Linked DNA regions of Pelodiscus sinensis. The protein of the gene in region 2 purifies or fractionates together with the protein of the main gene of each other region. This does not show direct contact. Links are inferred from orthologs where the notes say so. Each region holds a gene or a part of one and is shown on either strand. Other genes may lie near its edges.

Region 1 (7,303 bases), on a different chromosome or scaffold from region 2:
GCCCCGGCCCTCCCCCTTCTAGCTGGCTCTGGCCTCTCACTTTGGGGATGCATGTGGCTCCATGTGCACTCCCCATGCAGCACATAAAACTGTCCTAAGATATAACACTGTCCAATGGCTAGGAGTGGAAGCTAGACAAATTAAGACTGAAAACAAGGTGTAACTCTTTATTCGTGGTGGTAATTAGCTACAGGAACAATTTACGAAGTGCCATGTGGATTCTCCATCATGGGACATTTTAAAATCAAGATTAGATATTTTTCTAAAAGGTATGTTCTAGATATTAAGTTTTATAGCCTGTGCTGTACAGTAAGTCAGATAAGGCAATTATAATCATCCCTTCTGGCCTTAGAATCTATGAATATCTATTGATGTTTTTCCTTGTTCTTTGAGTGTGTAACTTGAGATACCTAGTTCCTAATTTGCAGAAGTGCTGAACATATAATTGTAACTGAATTCAATGGGAATTCTGCTCTGAGCAAACAAAGTGCTATAGAATGCCACATTAATATTAAAAATCAAACCCTAGATTTCTCACATTGGGCAATCAAAGTTAGCAGACATTTCTGACCTTAATCTCTATGCTTCAGTTAATTATCTGTAAAATGGGCACAATACTGCCATTTTACCTAACCACTGAGATGTGAAGATAAATGTATCAATGTTTGAGAAGGACTCAGGCCAAGACTTTTAAAGATATTTAGATGCCTAACTCCCACTGACTTCAATGAGAAGTCTAAATACCTCAGGTTTGGGACCTCAGACACTTAACTGAAGAACACCATAACAAAGCCCATGAGAGAATGAATAAATATATTCAGAGCACACTGTGAAGGGTGTGCAGTATTAAGTGCCATGGAGTCATACATTGAACGACCAAGATACAATCAAATATTGAATAGGTATCCATTCAGTGAACACCATTTATCCTGTGCATTGAATGAGGCTGGGGTCTTGTGGTAAAATACATGATCATAAAATTAAAGACCATATCACAATGCACAGACGAGGGGACCAAACTAAGGATGCACAGAATCTTAATTTTGGCACTTCCTAAATTCTCATTACTGAAAATTTCAACTTTAATTTTCTTTTAATGTAATTTTTTTGGGGTGGGGGTATATGTGTGTATATAATTGCAGGCTTATGTGATGTTTTACAATGCGACATAAAAGGATAAGCTGAGGAGCTTTTCACATCCTAAAGCAATATCAGGGATATTACAAAATGTCAGCCAAAATGGAACTATTCAGTAGAGGGGGAAAAAAAATGTGGGAATGTAAGTCCAAAGCGGGGTGGTGTTACCTGCACTGAAAAAAAAAAAGCAGAAAATGGACACAACAGATTCCAGGATACACTTAGGAGGTTTTGTTTGTTTTTCAATATACTATAATTCAGGGATGTGAAAGGTTAAAATAACCAGCTGGCTGATGGGGGTTGGAGCAGCACACCACTCACCATGGGCAGAACAGGGGGGAGGCTCAAACAGGGGCTGCTCTGGGTATAAATCTCTGGGATTCAAAGCTAGAACGCATTTATTAAGCAGTCTTTAAAATATCTGGAAAGAGCCAAATGTAAAGTTCTGATTTAATTAAAATTATCTAACATGTACTTCTAACATATAGAATGAGGCAGAATATGTAGTAGTTCTAAAATAAAAAAAGGATACGAATTATTACTAAAAAGAACTATGCACAAACACAAGGAAGATAGGAAACAGCGGACCTAAATGAAAACTCATAAATGGAATGGCAGTTTAAATTATTACAAATTATATAGAGGAGGTAAATAGAAGAATAGGTAGATATTAAAGTACTGTGGTGATGAGCACTATAAAAGTAATGACACAGAGCAGCGTTTCTCAAAGAGGTCCACGGATACACTGAGAAACCTGCTAACTGGCTGCTCCAGATTGTTTATTTACTAGCGCTGCAGACACAGAGCCTCACAGCTCCCATTAGCTCTGGTTTGTTGTTTGCAGCCAACGGGAACCACCAGAAGTGGTGGCCCAACCAACGCTGCTTCACCTTGGCTGCAAGCAGTGAACAAGAGCCAATGGGGGCCACAAGGCTTTGTGGCTACAGAGCCAGTAAATAAACAAACCGGAGTGGCCAGTTAACAGGTTTCTCAGAGCGGATCTGTGGACCACTTTGAGAAACGCTGACATAGAGCAGAAGCAAAATGCAGGGCAATGTAGCACTTTAAAGACTAACAAGATGCTTCAGCTACCCCAGACTAACACGGCTACATTTCTATCACTATTTGACATAGAGCAATGTTTCCTAACTGGAAGGTCACAGTTCAAAGGGAGGTCACCAAATACAATCAAAGGGATTGTGAGGCACTGAACATTTTATTAAAATTCTAAAGCAAAGAAAGTTTCCAGAATAATGTTGGGGCCAAAATCTTCAATGTTTTTGAGTTTGCATAGGTGACCCTCTTCTACTGTCTCACTCCTTCATACCCATACTCCTCCAGGTTATCTATGGATACAGCTACACGGAGCAGCTATATCAGGATACCGGAGGTATCTCAAAATAGCTACCCCATGTTTTAACAAGCCACCCATTATTTCAAAATATTTTTCAAAATAATGAGCATGCTATTTCGACATCCATGTAACCGTCATTCCCGGAGGTCTCCAAGAAGTGTGTTATTTTGAAATTTGGCGCTGTGTAGATGCACCAAATTTCAAAATAAGCTAGTTTGAAATAGACTTGAAATAAGATAAGCAAATCTTATTTTGAGTGTATAGACGCACCCTATTTTCTGCCAAGCTCTTCAAACACACACACAATAAATTTCATAGGTTTATGATCACAGATACATTTTGACACTTATAGAAAGTGTTAGAGGGTTGCAACAGTTTTCAAAAACTGGGTTGCCAGCCTGAAAAGAAAGCGAAATAGGGAGCTCCAAGCATGGTGCTATAGGTCTGAAGTGTTTACAATGACTGCAAGCTACCAGTTCAAAATAAAGGATGTCCTGGTGACATTCTCTGGTTCACGTGAAAAAAAATTAAACCAACAGAAAGCAAGCAAGCAAAGGTTAGCTATTACACAGTGTGGGGGAAGAGACCGCCCCTCAAAATAAACCGCCTTCCAGACTATGCCCCTGTAACTATCCCGAGTTTCCCCCTACCACCCATCCAGGGCAAAGACTTCTCGGGGCTGGAACAGGGCGGCATCTAGGAGGCAAGAGTGCCGCTCGCAGCAGCGCCCCTTGTCACAGGCAGAGGGGGATGCTGCTCCTCACTGCAATGGGGACCCCCGCGCGGGGAGGGGGAGCTAAGGCAGCCGAACCCCCGCTGCTATAGGGACCCCCCCCCCATGTGGTGAGTTTACGGCTGCCCCACAGGGATCCCTCCGGGGGCGGAGGGATATCGGCAGCACCGCACGGACTTTGAGCTCGCCCAGGGATCCGGCTACCTCGCCGCTGCAGCGCCCTCCAGGACGGGCAGCGGCCCCAGAAACTCAGTCTGAGCCCTTAACGGAGTCACTGAGGGTCAGACGTACCCAGCAGCAGGGCAGGGCCGCGCCGGGCCTGGCGCACGGCTCAGAGCCCGCACGTTAGCAGCAACGTGAGCCTCAAAGTGCCGCCGTGCAAACACAACCTCGCCCTCCGCGGCACCACCTCGCCCGCCTCTAGGCTGCGCATGCGCAGCAATCGCATCGGCAGTCTTCCAGGGCAACAGCGCGTGCGCAATTATTTCCCCAGTGTGGGGCGCCCTCCGCGGCACCGCCTCCCGTCCTAGGTCTATACTAGTGCGCCTGCGCAGCGCCTGGGGGGGGGGGACTCACCCATGCTGCTCAGCTTAGTGCGCGTGCGCGGCTTCCATCTTTTTCTTCTCTCCCACTCCCAAACTACTCGCGGGCTCAGGAAGAAGGAAATGAGGTCACAAATAGCCCAGTCCCTCCACACCAGCGTTGCTAAGCAACGCTTCCCATAGCAACGGAAGAGACAACAGTAGGCAGCTCTCTGGTAGAACCATCTTCTCAGCCGAGGCAAGCGGAGCAGGGTGAGGGAAGGGGGGAGCTCCCGGCGGGGGCGGGCAGCGGGGAGAAGCGAGGGGTGAAGGGGACGGAGGGAATGAGGCGCAGAGGGGCAGGGGGCTGGAGCGAAGGGTGGGAGCGGGTCCCAGGAGGGGGCAGCGAAGAGAGAAGTCGCAGGAGCGCTGGAGATGAGAGCGGCGGGGGAGAGAGAAGGAGGGAGGGGCGGGAGAAGTGGAGGGAGATAAGGAGGGCTGAGAAAATGGCAGAGAAGAGAGAGAGGGGGCAAACCTGAAGGGTGCACGTACAATGTCAATGTACCACCCCCAGGGCCTGCTCAGGCCAAGGATGACCGCGCTGTGCGCCCAAGAAAGCATATATAATCTCCTACCCCGGGTGGAGGAGAAGCCTGTCAAACTACCAAGGTATGTGGGAGAGAAAGAATCAATTTCTTCTGCAACTTTGTCTCAAGTCATACACTCCAATTTTTATTAGCTCACGTGGGGAACTGATATGACAAAACTGTAAATATATATCCAAATAACACACTTGCTGTGACTTGTAACTAATCATTATATTACTATGTAAAAACCAGTTTGAATATAACCTTTTGCACATTCCTTTGATAAAATAAATGGAAGTGTGAATGAGTATCCAGTCTTTGCTCAAGTAGAGGTTCATATTGCTAATTTGTCACACTTCTGGGCTCTGCAGCATCTGTAAGTGAAAAATAAAGCATGTTGCAGGCCCTTTCATCTTTTCATGTTTTATTATTTAATGTACACCAACAATGCTCTTGGCATTCTACAAAATAGAGAGAAAGGTGTTTCCTGCCCTGAGCTTTTCATTTAAATTCTGTTGCAGTACTACCCTCAATACCCTATGGTCTGTGTCTTCCATAACTGGGAAATCACTCCCTTCACTTTTTCTTGTAAGTTACACAAAACATTTAGCACATAAAAGGGGACTTGTCTAATTCACATTTGGGAAGGAAGCGGAGAAAAATCCAGTGATGTAATATAAGAATAATCAAGGAGAGTAGCTGTTCTAAAACTCTTCTCATACCTTTCAAAAGCTCTACATTTTGTTTGTTTGTTTTTAATTTTTAAAGTCATATAAGTGGAAATATCTATCTCCTTCCCTGAATTCAAAGGCCACGACCTCAAATTCTGGTCCTCAGTAACTTAGCTTGCATTGATGAAAGGAAGCAGATTCTTAAATGAAAACCTCAACAATTCTGAAAAATCCTTTCCCCATATTAGGGAAATGTGAGGCCTTTCTTATTTATATGATCAAAAACATAAGGACCACTAGCGGGGAAATTGAAATTCATCTTAATTCAAAGAACAGAACTCTCTCTCTCTCTGTCTCTCTCTGTAGTTTCATAAACTGTGAGCCATGGTAGTTGCAACCTGCTCTGCCCATTCATTCTTATTCATGGTCTAGTTGTGTCTAGTTTGTATTCCACCATAAGCCACACAAAATATTTTCAGGGAAAACACAATAGTACAGTAGAGTGCTATTTATGTGAATCTTTTGAATCCCAATCTTCCTGTTAACCTGAAGGCATTTCCCTGTCTTTTAGATCACCCCCATCTAAAGACAGTAATAAAAATAAGTGATCTGGCTGGCCCTTGCAACACTTTTACTTCTGTGCACATTTTTGATAATGCTGCTACCATGACTCCCATTCAGCTGAGCCTGTTTAACCAAAGCAATTCCTTCTGTTCTTTTTTGATTAACTAGGTTGTATTATAGTCTCTTTTTGTTGCTTTTATCATATGTGAAAATGTGTCACATGCTGTTTGGTAACAGCTTAGGGTTTTGCCATTTGGGAGGATTGGTACAATTTGTTCTATGACTGTCTAATACACTCCTGTTTTTATCTCAGTATTATTGTTATGTATTATTATTAACATAAATGCATTTTGGGGTACTGCATTTTGATACCACAAGGAATCCATATCTTGACAAAAAGATAGATGTACCTATCAAACAGGGGTGCTGAACGTCAGGCCTGGGAGATGAATTCGGCCCCTGGCTTGTCTGGATCTGGCCCCTGAGGCTCAGGGCTCCCCCCAGCACTGGGGAGCCTGCCCTGGCACTCCAGCCTCCCTCCCCCCTCCGCGCTGCCCCTCCATGGGGATGAAGACCACAAAATCTACTACCCTGGGCCACCATAGGTTCTAGTGTATGAGTGGAATGTGGGGAGTGCCTTTCTCCTTCTCAGTTGGTGATGTCAGTGAGGAGTGCTGTTTTGTTTTGTTTTGTATTTTTGCTTCACTTCTGTGAGGCCACCAACTGAGTTTTCTGTGGGACACAGTCTCCAACCCCAAAAAGGTTCACCATCTCTGCCATAAATCCACATGTCTTTTGTTGCTGTTTTTGTTGTTTCTGTTTAGGTTTTTGTCACATACATAAGCATCCCCTTGAACAAAGTAAGTTAGGGTGCTGTTCTCAAGAACAACTTTATTGCATTATAGATATGTCCAGTATTATGGGCCATATAGTATATAAATTCTTCCATGCCTGGACTCTTGGACCTAATCTACACACAAAAGCCAATGACAAAATTGCTATTGATTTCGGTTTTTCAGGAACAGCCCTAGGCCATATAAGAAATATATGGTATTGGAACATAGAACTTGCTGTTCCAGTTCTGACCAGTGGTCCTTTTAGTATAGACTATGTCATTAACAAGTACCATGGAGGTGTGCAATAATTTGTTATAGGGAATCCTTCCAAGAACTTGGTAAGTGGTTATAGGCTGCACTTTTCTATTATATTAATGGAGATGGTGTGGAATCTGAAATGGAAGTTGAGTATAGAAGGGAACTCTGATTGGAGTGTTGGAACGGGTATGGGGTTTGAGAGAGAGTTTGGGTGATGGAAGGAGTTGTGACCTGGGGAAAGGGATTAGGATACAGGAGGAAGTGTAGGGTCTGGATGGGGGGGTTGGGTGCAAGAGAAGATTCTGACCTGGGGGAGGAATTTTGGAAGGAGTGCAGAGGGTTGGATTATGACCCGGGGCAGGAGTGCAGGGGAGCATGCAGAGGGCTTGGGTTGACCTGGGGAAGGGAATTGGCATATGAGAGGAGGTAGGGTGCCAGGTGCATGCTCTGGCCAGGAGGTGCATACATTAGGCAGCTCCCAGCCAGCAGCCCAGCAGGACCTTAGGACAGGCTCCCTGGCTGCCATGCCCCCACATGCCATTCAAAGCGCTGGCTGGTAGGGCCAACATGTGTGTCTCTGAGTGGCACGCCCTTTGGAGATGAGGAGGGTAGCGGGTCTCCATGTGCTGCACAGCTCCCATT
Region 2 (7,742 bases):
CACAGCACCAATATCAGCACTGACTGCCATGGCATCATTATCAGTGTCTACGGTGGCACAAACACACCCAGCTTCCATAGCACTGATAGTGCCCAGCATCAAGAGAAACCAAGAAGGAGGAGGCATCACTCCTCCTCGCTGTGGCACTGATCCCTGGCACTGTTGGCTTCTACCCCACCCTGGTCCACGTCAGAATACACATCTAATTTGAAGGCAGAATCTTATGCCTCCAGAAGGCGCACACATCGCTCCAGACCTCAGAAGTGATGCTGGAGCAACGCACCACAGATCATGCCATAGGCATCATGACCTCCCCAGTTGAAGTGGCAGTGGCTCTTCTGGACCTCATGTGCTTGTCACCAGGCCTAGGGCCTGCCTCCAGGCCGGCCTCAGTATCCCGTGGGACCAAACAGCCACTTGTCTTTTCTTCCTCAGCCAAGTGGTTGAGAAAGCATATTCCTATCATGTTTTAATAGCCTACTGCACACTGGTATCTTTGACCATTTTCAATCCCAGTATCACTCCAGCCACAGAATTTAAACTGATCTGTAATAGGGCCAGTCATATTCAACATATTCACAAATTATTTGAAAAGGGAGTAAACAGTGAGGTGGCAAAATTTGAAGATGATAGAAAAACTACTCAAAATAGTTAGGTCCAAAGACGACTGCAAAGAGTTACAAAGGGATCTCACAAAACTGGATAACTTGGCAACCAAATGGCAAATAAAATTAAATATTGATAAATACAAAGTAATGCACATAGGAAAACATAATCCCAGTTATACATACAAGATAATAGGGCTTAAATTACCTGGTCCTGTTACCACTCAAGAAACAGATCTTGGAGTCATTGTAGATAGTTCTCTGAAAATAGCCAATGTGTAGCAGCAGTCAAAAAAGCAAACAAAATGTTGGGAATCATTAAGGAAGAGATAGATAAAATGACAGAAAAATATCATATTGTCTATAAAAATCCATGGTAGGCTCACATCTTCAATACTGCATGCAGATGTGGTCACTCCATCTCAGAAAGGATATCTTGGAATTGGAAAAGGTTCCGAAAAGGGCAACAAAAATTATTAGGGGTATTGAATAGGGATGTTAAATTGTGAATAATTGACTAATCGAATAGTCAATGCATTTTGCATCGACTATTTGATTAGTTGATAAGGTGCCTCTGCCTTTGAAGTGTAGCAGCAGACCTAGGGATGTTGCTACACTTCAAAGGTAAAAGCACAGTGTAGAACCTAGGGTCAGCTGAGGACTCCCCTGCTGACCCCAGGCTCCATGATGCACTGCAGCTTTTAAATGCTATAGGGAGCCTGGTGTCAGGCAGTAAGGGGAGGGGGAAGTGACTAGTCGACTAGCTTGTCGAATATCTGATAAACATTTGCTTATCGGATAGTTGACTAGTCCTTCACATCTCTAGTATTGAATGGCTTCCATATGAGGAGCAGTTGACAAGACTGAGACTTTTCAGTTTGGAAAACAGATGACTAAGATAGGCTAAGACAAAGGTCTATAAAACCATGGCTGGTATAAAGAAAGTAAATAAGGAAGTATTATTTATTCCTTCTCATAATACAAGGACTAGGCATCACCAAATGAAATTTATAGGCAGCAGGTTTAAAACAAACAAAAGTATTTTTTCATCCAACACACAGCCAAATTGTGGAACACCTTGCCAGAGGATGTTGTGAAGGCCAAATCTATAACAGGGTTAAAAAAAACCCAAAATAAGTTCATGGAAGATAGGTCCATCAGTGCCTATGAGCCAGGATGGGCAGGGATGATGTCCTTAGCCTCTGTTTGCCAGAAATTGGGAATAGGTGATGGGGGTGGATCATTTGATGACTACCTGTTCTGTTTATTCCCTCTGAGGCACCTGGTATTGGCCACTGTTGGAACACAGGATGAGGGATGTTAAATATTGGTTAATTAAATAGTCAAGTAACCTCTAGTTTAAAGAGAAGCTAGATAAATTCATGGAGGTTAGGTCCATAAAAGACTATTAGCCAGGGGTAGGAATGGTGTCCCTGGAGATGGATGGCACGAGACAAATCGCTTGATCATTGTCTTTGGTCTGCCCCCTCCGCTGGCCACTGTTGGCAGACAGACTATTGGGCTAGATGGACCTTTGGTCTGACCCAGTATGGCCATTCTTATGTTCTTATGTACTCATGAATTCTTATCGGTTAGTCGATTATTCTATAGTCCCCGTGGGCAGGCCTGGCAGCAGTGCAGGGTGGTAGGTGGGAACTAATCTGCTAGGGGAGCTAGTTTAAAAACCAGCTCCTCTTGCAGACTGGCTGCTTGTCACCCTGTGCTGCTGCCACTGATGAAGAGACAGTAGTGCAGGTGGCAGCAACCCCTGTTGGGGGGGAGGGGGTCCTTAGCTCCCAGACCCAGCACGAAACATAACTGAGCTGGGCTGCCTGCCCACCTAGCTCCTAATACACTTAAAGTGCAGAGCCACAATGGGGGCAGGTCCCAGATCCAGCATGAGCCAGAACTGAGCCAGGCTGCTGGCCAGCCTGCTACAAAATTTACTTGTTGCCGAGGGAGGGAAATGCGTGTAGTTTAGAGTTAACCTATAAGCTTTTGCTTATCAGTTAATTGGTCAATCAACTGCACTATTACATTCCAACACAGGATGCTAGTCTAGATGGACCTGTGGTCTGACTCAGTATGGGTATGTCTACACTACCCTCCTAGTTTGAACTAGGAGGGTAATGTAGGCATACCGCACTTGCAAATGAAGCCCGGGATTTGAATTTCCCGGGCTTTATTTGCATAAGCGGGGAGCCGCCATTTTTTAAACCACGCTGGTTTGAACCCCGTGCAGCGCGGCTACACGGGGCACGAACTAGGTAGTTTGAATTAGGCTTCCTAGTTCGAACTACCGTTACTCCTCGTGAAATGAGGAGTAACGGTAGTTCGAACTAGGAAGCCTAGTTTGAACTACCTAGTTCATGCCCCGTGTAGCCGCGCTGCACGGGGTTCAAACCAGCGTGGTTTTAAAAATGGCGGCTCCCCGCTTATGCAAATGAAGCCTGGGAAATTCAAATCCCGGGCTTCATTTGCAAGTGCGGCATGCCTACATTACCCGCTAGTTCGAACTAGCGGGGTAGTGTAGACATACCCTATGGCAATTCTTATGTTAACTACTCTCCAGTAATAAGCAGACTTGTTTTATGATGCCGCTGATGTCTTTCTCTTTCCTAAATGTATCTTTGGATATAATGGGCCATTCCATCATTTTATCCATATCAATACTGTTGATTATGCAGGTGTCCCTGGTTCCCTCTTGTCCTGCCTCCCCTGCATTCTGTCTTTGGTGATAGCTCATTTTCAAGGCCAAGATCTGTCCTGTATGGAGTCCCACACAGTTAAATTTGCAGCCCTCTTAGTCTTTTCCACCAGAATTCTTTTCACTCATCTGTATCTTTTACCTCCCTGTTACTTAGCCATATGTATCTTTCACCACCTTTAGCGACTTCTACTCCACCTTTTGTGTCTTGATCAAATAAACTTGTAACTTTGTTCCAACTTCCTTCAGATAAATCTAAGACAGAAGTGCTTCTCTTGGGCAAGAAATGCTTGTTCAAACACATTTTCATTTCTTCATTTTTTTTCAGCTTAAGCCTTTCATTTGCCTTTTCGGTTGATCAGCTTAGCATTACTCTCAACCTTTCTGTTACATTGTCTATGCCCATGACATTGTTTACCCCATAACGCTTGTGTGAGAGGCTCCACGTGGGTGGTACCTTGCATTTTTATTTACCTGAAAAAAGCCTGATACTTATATAGTACAAAAGCTTCAGAGGGGCAGCAGAGTTAGTCTGTAACTGGGAAAATGTAAAAAACAACAAACAGTCTAGCAGCACCTTAAAGACTACAAAACATGTAGACCCATTTCTTCAGTAATCATAAACCTACTAATAAATAGGTCAAGCTTCCTATCAACACTTCTGCAACATTGCTCACATTTCACTGCCACTGACTTCTGAAAGTCTTAGCCATGATTTAATCTTTCTCTCTTCTAATCTTGACTATGACCTCATCCTCTTCTGTGGTCACCTCAGCTCTTGAAATTTCAGCAAGCAAAGAAAATTGTTGCCTATGGTTTTGCACGTACAGGAATGAAAAGGTGACACCAGGATGGGCCCAGTAGCACCTGCCCCAGGGATTTCCTGGCTGGCTCTGGTGGAGGAGGTGCCAGACTGGGGCAAGGCATATGGGATGAATGGCCTTGGGCCAGGCCAGGCACCACCCACCTAGAGGCTGAGCTATGATTGTGGGAGTGTGGCTGGACATCACTGGAGTGAGGTGAATGTGGGGCACGCATGGGAAGCCTCTACCACCCCCACAAAGTTGTCGTCCCCTCTCCCGCCCCCGCCAATTACCTCATCTGACTCTGGCAGGGCCAGCCTGACAAAACGCGGCCTATTCTAGTTCTTATTGGCTGGCCATCATGTCAATCTACCATCCTCCCTGACTCAGCGTCCATTGGCCTGGGCTCTTTGGGGGCGGAGTGACGCTTGTTCTCGAGCGTTAGCGGCGGAGCTTAGAACGCCACGCCCTCTTCCTAGCGCCACTTGCCCCGCCTCCTCAGCCGCTGTTGGCTGCGGTCGAAGTCAATCAGGAGCAAGCGGTGTTTCTATTGGTGGGCGATAGGGAAACGGGGCGGGGCTTTTGCTTGGCCGCGGCCGCTCCCCCCCGGCTTGAAACCTCGCAGTGCCGGGGAGTTTAGAGGCGTTGAAGCCGGAGCAGAGCGGCGAGTCCGTGCAAGGAGCCGGCCCCGAGGATCAGTCTCTCAGCGCCAGGAGCAGGCGCCGCGGCTTCTCGCAGGCTTTGGCTGGACTCAGGTGAGGTGCGGGGGCGGGGGCGCGGACGAGGAACGCAGCGCTCGGGTCTCGGGCTGGCGCTAGCGGCTTTGAGAGCGGGTTGGGGCGGTCGGGCGGTTCGGATCCGGTGCCTGGGAGCCGTTTGTCTCGCCCGCGGCTTCGCCCGGCCTGGCAGCGCAGCCGTTACCTGCCGTCTCCTCTCTCCGCCCCGGGCGCAGCGCCTAGGTCAGGGTCACGGAGGTGCCCCCTCCGCGTCCCGTGCAGGGCGAGCCCTGGGCCGGGGGGCAGCGAAGCACGTGCCCGCGCCTTTCCGCCGCGGTGGCGCTGTGCCGCGGGCGTTCCCTGCCGGCGCGCGGGTGGGGGGGTTGTGCCGCTCGCGCGGGTTCCCCCCCCCCCCCCCCCCTCCAGCGCGCGAGAGTAACGGGCGGGCGAAGGGACCGTTTGGCAGCTGTCAGGGCTCCCGCCCTGAGTCACGGGCTGACAGTCCCGCGGCAAGGCGCTTGCAACGGGCTTGGCTTCCGCCCTGCGACCCAGACTTCCTCATTCGCCTGGCTCCGCCGCGGGGAGGGAGTGGCGGGGCGAGATGCAGCTTGCCAGTGCGCCGAGAGCGCGAGGCTTTCCTGCCCCGATCCAGCACCCGCCACCGGGACACCCTCCCGCCTTCTTACCCGCCGACCTGCGCCTGGGGCAGACACAAACACTGGCGTCCCTCCCCTCCCCCCGGCCCTTGGGGGTGAGGCGCACCCCCGCGAGCTTATCCGCGCTCCTGTCCTGAGCTGCCTCCCGGCGGTGTGACATGCGCCTTAAGGCAGGAGCTTGTGCTGTGGAGTAGGCTGTAGTGTGATGGTAACCGTGTGCCCTGGTCAGGGGAAGGAGGCAGTTCTCACAATGGCTACTAGTGTCCTCTTCCATCCCGGACCTGCTGCTGAATCACCTTTGTGCGGCTCTGCAGTGCTTCCTGTTAGTGGGTCTCTCTGTCCTTGCCGCCCCAAGCCTGGGCTAAGAACCTAAAGGCTTTTGCGGAGGAGACTATTTAACAGGCCTGTCTTACCTAAACTGACGGGTTTGAGAGTCGAAGCTGAATGGGTGTTATTCTAGAAGGAATCCGAATCAGCAAGCCATGACGCCCTGCCCTTCTCTGTAAAGAAGGTACAGAGTAATTTGCATAGAGGTGTGGAGTTTTATGAACCATGATTCTGAAATTGAAACTCACATCCTTAACTCTTTTTTTTTTTTAAATCAGCATAGGTGACTTCCGAGTTACTTGTTTTAAGAGGTGAAACCCCTCTGATTAGTTACCACTTGTATAAAGAATAATTTATAACTTAATCACCAGGTAACTATGATTAATTTGGTTGTGGCACTCCAGTGAAAGCAAACCTTGGTACAGCTTTGTATTGACTCATATGCTCAGAGTTGCTAGAGTTGGGGCATTCAAATGTTAAGCTTAGCTGAGATAAGCAAATATTTCTACTATGTGGTATGTTGAGAGGTACCAATTGGAAGAAAATTAATACATGAAAGTGGAGCTACTTTAGTAATTAAGTATTTTGAAATTGTGCAGGATAATGCTAACAGCCCTAATAAGCACATGATACTACTGAGCTGGGAATTCTGGCCATGTGAAACTGCCTCTGAAGCTATGTCTGTAGTAAATTGTACAGTTTACCTTCTCATTGAAACTTCACATCAATAGAGGCTAGTTAGGGTGGCCTGTTTTTCTTGAGCATTACTTCAACAGATATGTATATTTTGTAGAAAAGAGATTTTTTTTCTGTAGTGCCTGCCTAAGATTTTCATTAGTTTTCTTGAAAATTGGTGTAGAATCATGAATGGTGCCAGATAAATAGCTATGAAATGTATGGGTCATAGCCAGTCTGAAGAGTGCAGACAAGGTTGAATGCCTTATGTAGTGTTCTCTCTCAATGTTTAACTTGTCTTGCCGAGATCTGATGTTGTAAATTTTCAGTTCATAATCCTATGTATTTGTTGGTCTCTAAGGAGCCATGGGACAACTTGTTAGTCTGTAACTTTAAAAACAACATGTCTACTGCTCTAAGACTTAAGTAGCTAGACCTGTGGTGTCCAACTTGTTTTGAAAACAATAACTACTACTGTTAATGGCTACTACTATAGCTAACTAGCCACACTCACCTGGCCAAATAGCCACATGTGGCTAGTGTGTTGGACACTACGGAGCTAGACCCTTGTCAACTTGACCTCTTTATTCTTGGAGAGGGTGTGGCTGTTGAAAATGTACAGTATTTCTTTTCTAGATGTCTTCTGATTGGTTTCCTTAAAATGGACTAAAGAAAACAAGTCTGTGTATTATCACAGCTTTAAACCTATGTTGTAAAGCGACTCTGAAATAATGAAAAGTTCAGGAAAATATTTATCCATAAGGTAGCACTGGAAGGTGCTGTACATATATCTTCACTTTGGAGGCTTCATACTTTTTTTGGGGGGGGGGGGGATTGCATTGCAATTTAAAAACTTGAACTCTCCCACACCAAGATGGGATATTTACAAAATCTGGGCTGCATACCAGTGTCTGCACTGCACTTGAACAGACCTTTAGCTCTGCGAGTCTGAGTTTTTAATTGCAGTGTAAACATGCCCCATATGTCCTCCTAAGCATTTGTTTCCCTGATATGAAAAATGCCAGGAAGTGAAGGTCTTGTGTTAAGTCTGTAGTAAGGAGCAACTAGTACTTTAATTGTTTATAAATGTGTCTCACGCACAAATGTTCAAAGCACTCAGGCATATTGATAATCCAAATGCTCACTGTCTGACTGGTAGGAGGCAATGAGAGAGCATGAAGCAATATTTTATTGATCTTGTTTTAAAAATGCCTTATTAAATGATGCAATAAATCCTATTTCATAGGATAATT

The links. Proteins that work in one complex are often made in the same cells at the same time.
Region 1: the proteins of MYH9 (region 2) and ENKUR purify together in Homo sapiens (affinity purification with western blotting; 4 studies listed by BioGRID, with this or other methods). This does not show direct contact. The link is inferred for Pelodiscus sinensis from reciprocal best matches to the Homo sapiens genes MYH9 and ENKUR.

The regions. Positions count from the first base shown.
Region 1 is NC_134712.1:224,794,616-224,801,918, reverse strand, and holds the start of ENKUR (enkurin), read left to right. Parts: upstream 1-4,298; coding exon 4,299-4,414; intron 4,415-7,303. Other genes in the region: uncharacterized protein LOC102450762, read right to left, coding at 3,801-3,804. UniProt on the Homo sapiens protein: Adapter that functions to localize a calcium-sensitive signal transduction machinery in sperm to a calcium-permeable ion channel.
Region 2 is NC_134711.1:93,418,197-93,425,938, forward strand, and holds the start of MYH9 (myosin-9), read left to right. Parts: upstream 1-4,722; 5' UTR 4,723-4,870; intron 4,871-5,862; exon of another isoform or gene 5,863-5,998; intron 5,999-7,742. UniProt on the Homo sapiens protein: Cellular myosin that appears to play a role in cytokinesis, cell shape, and specialized functions such as secretion and capping. Required for cortical actin clearance prior to oocyte exocytosis. Promotes cell motility in conjunction with S100A4.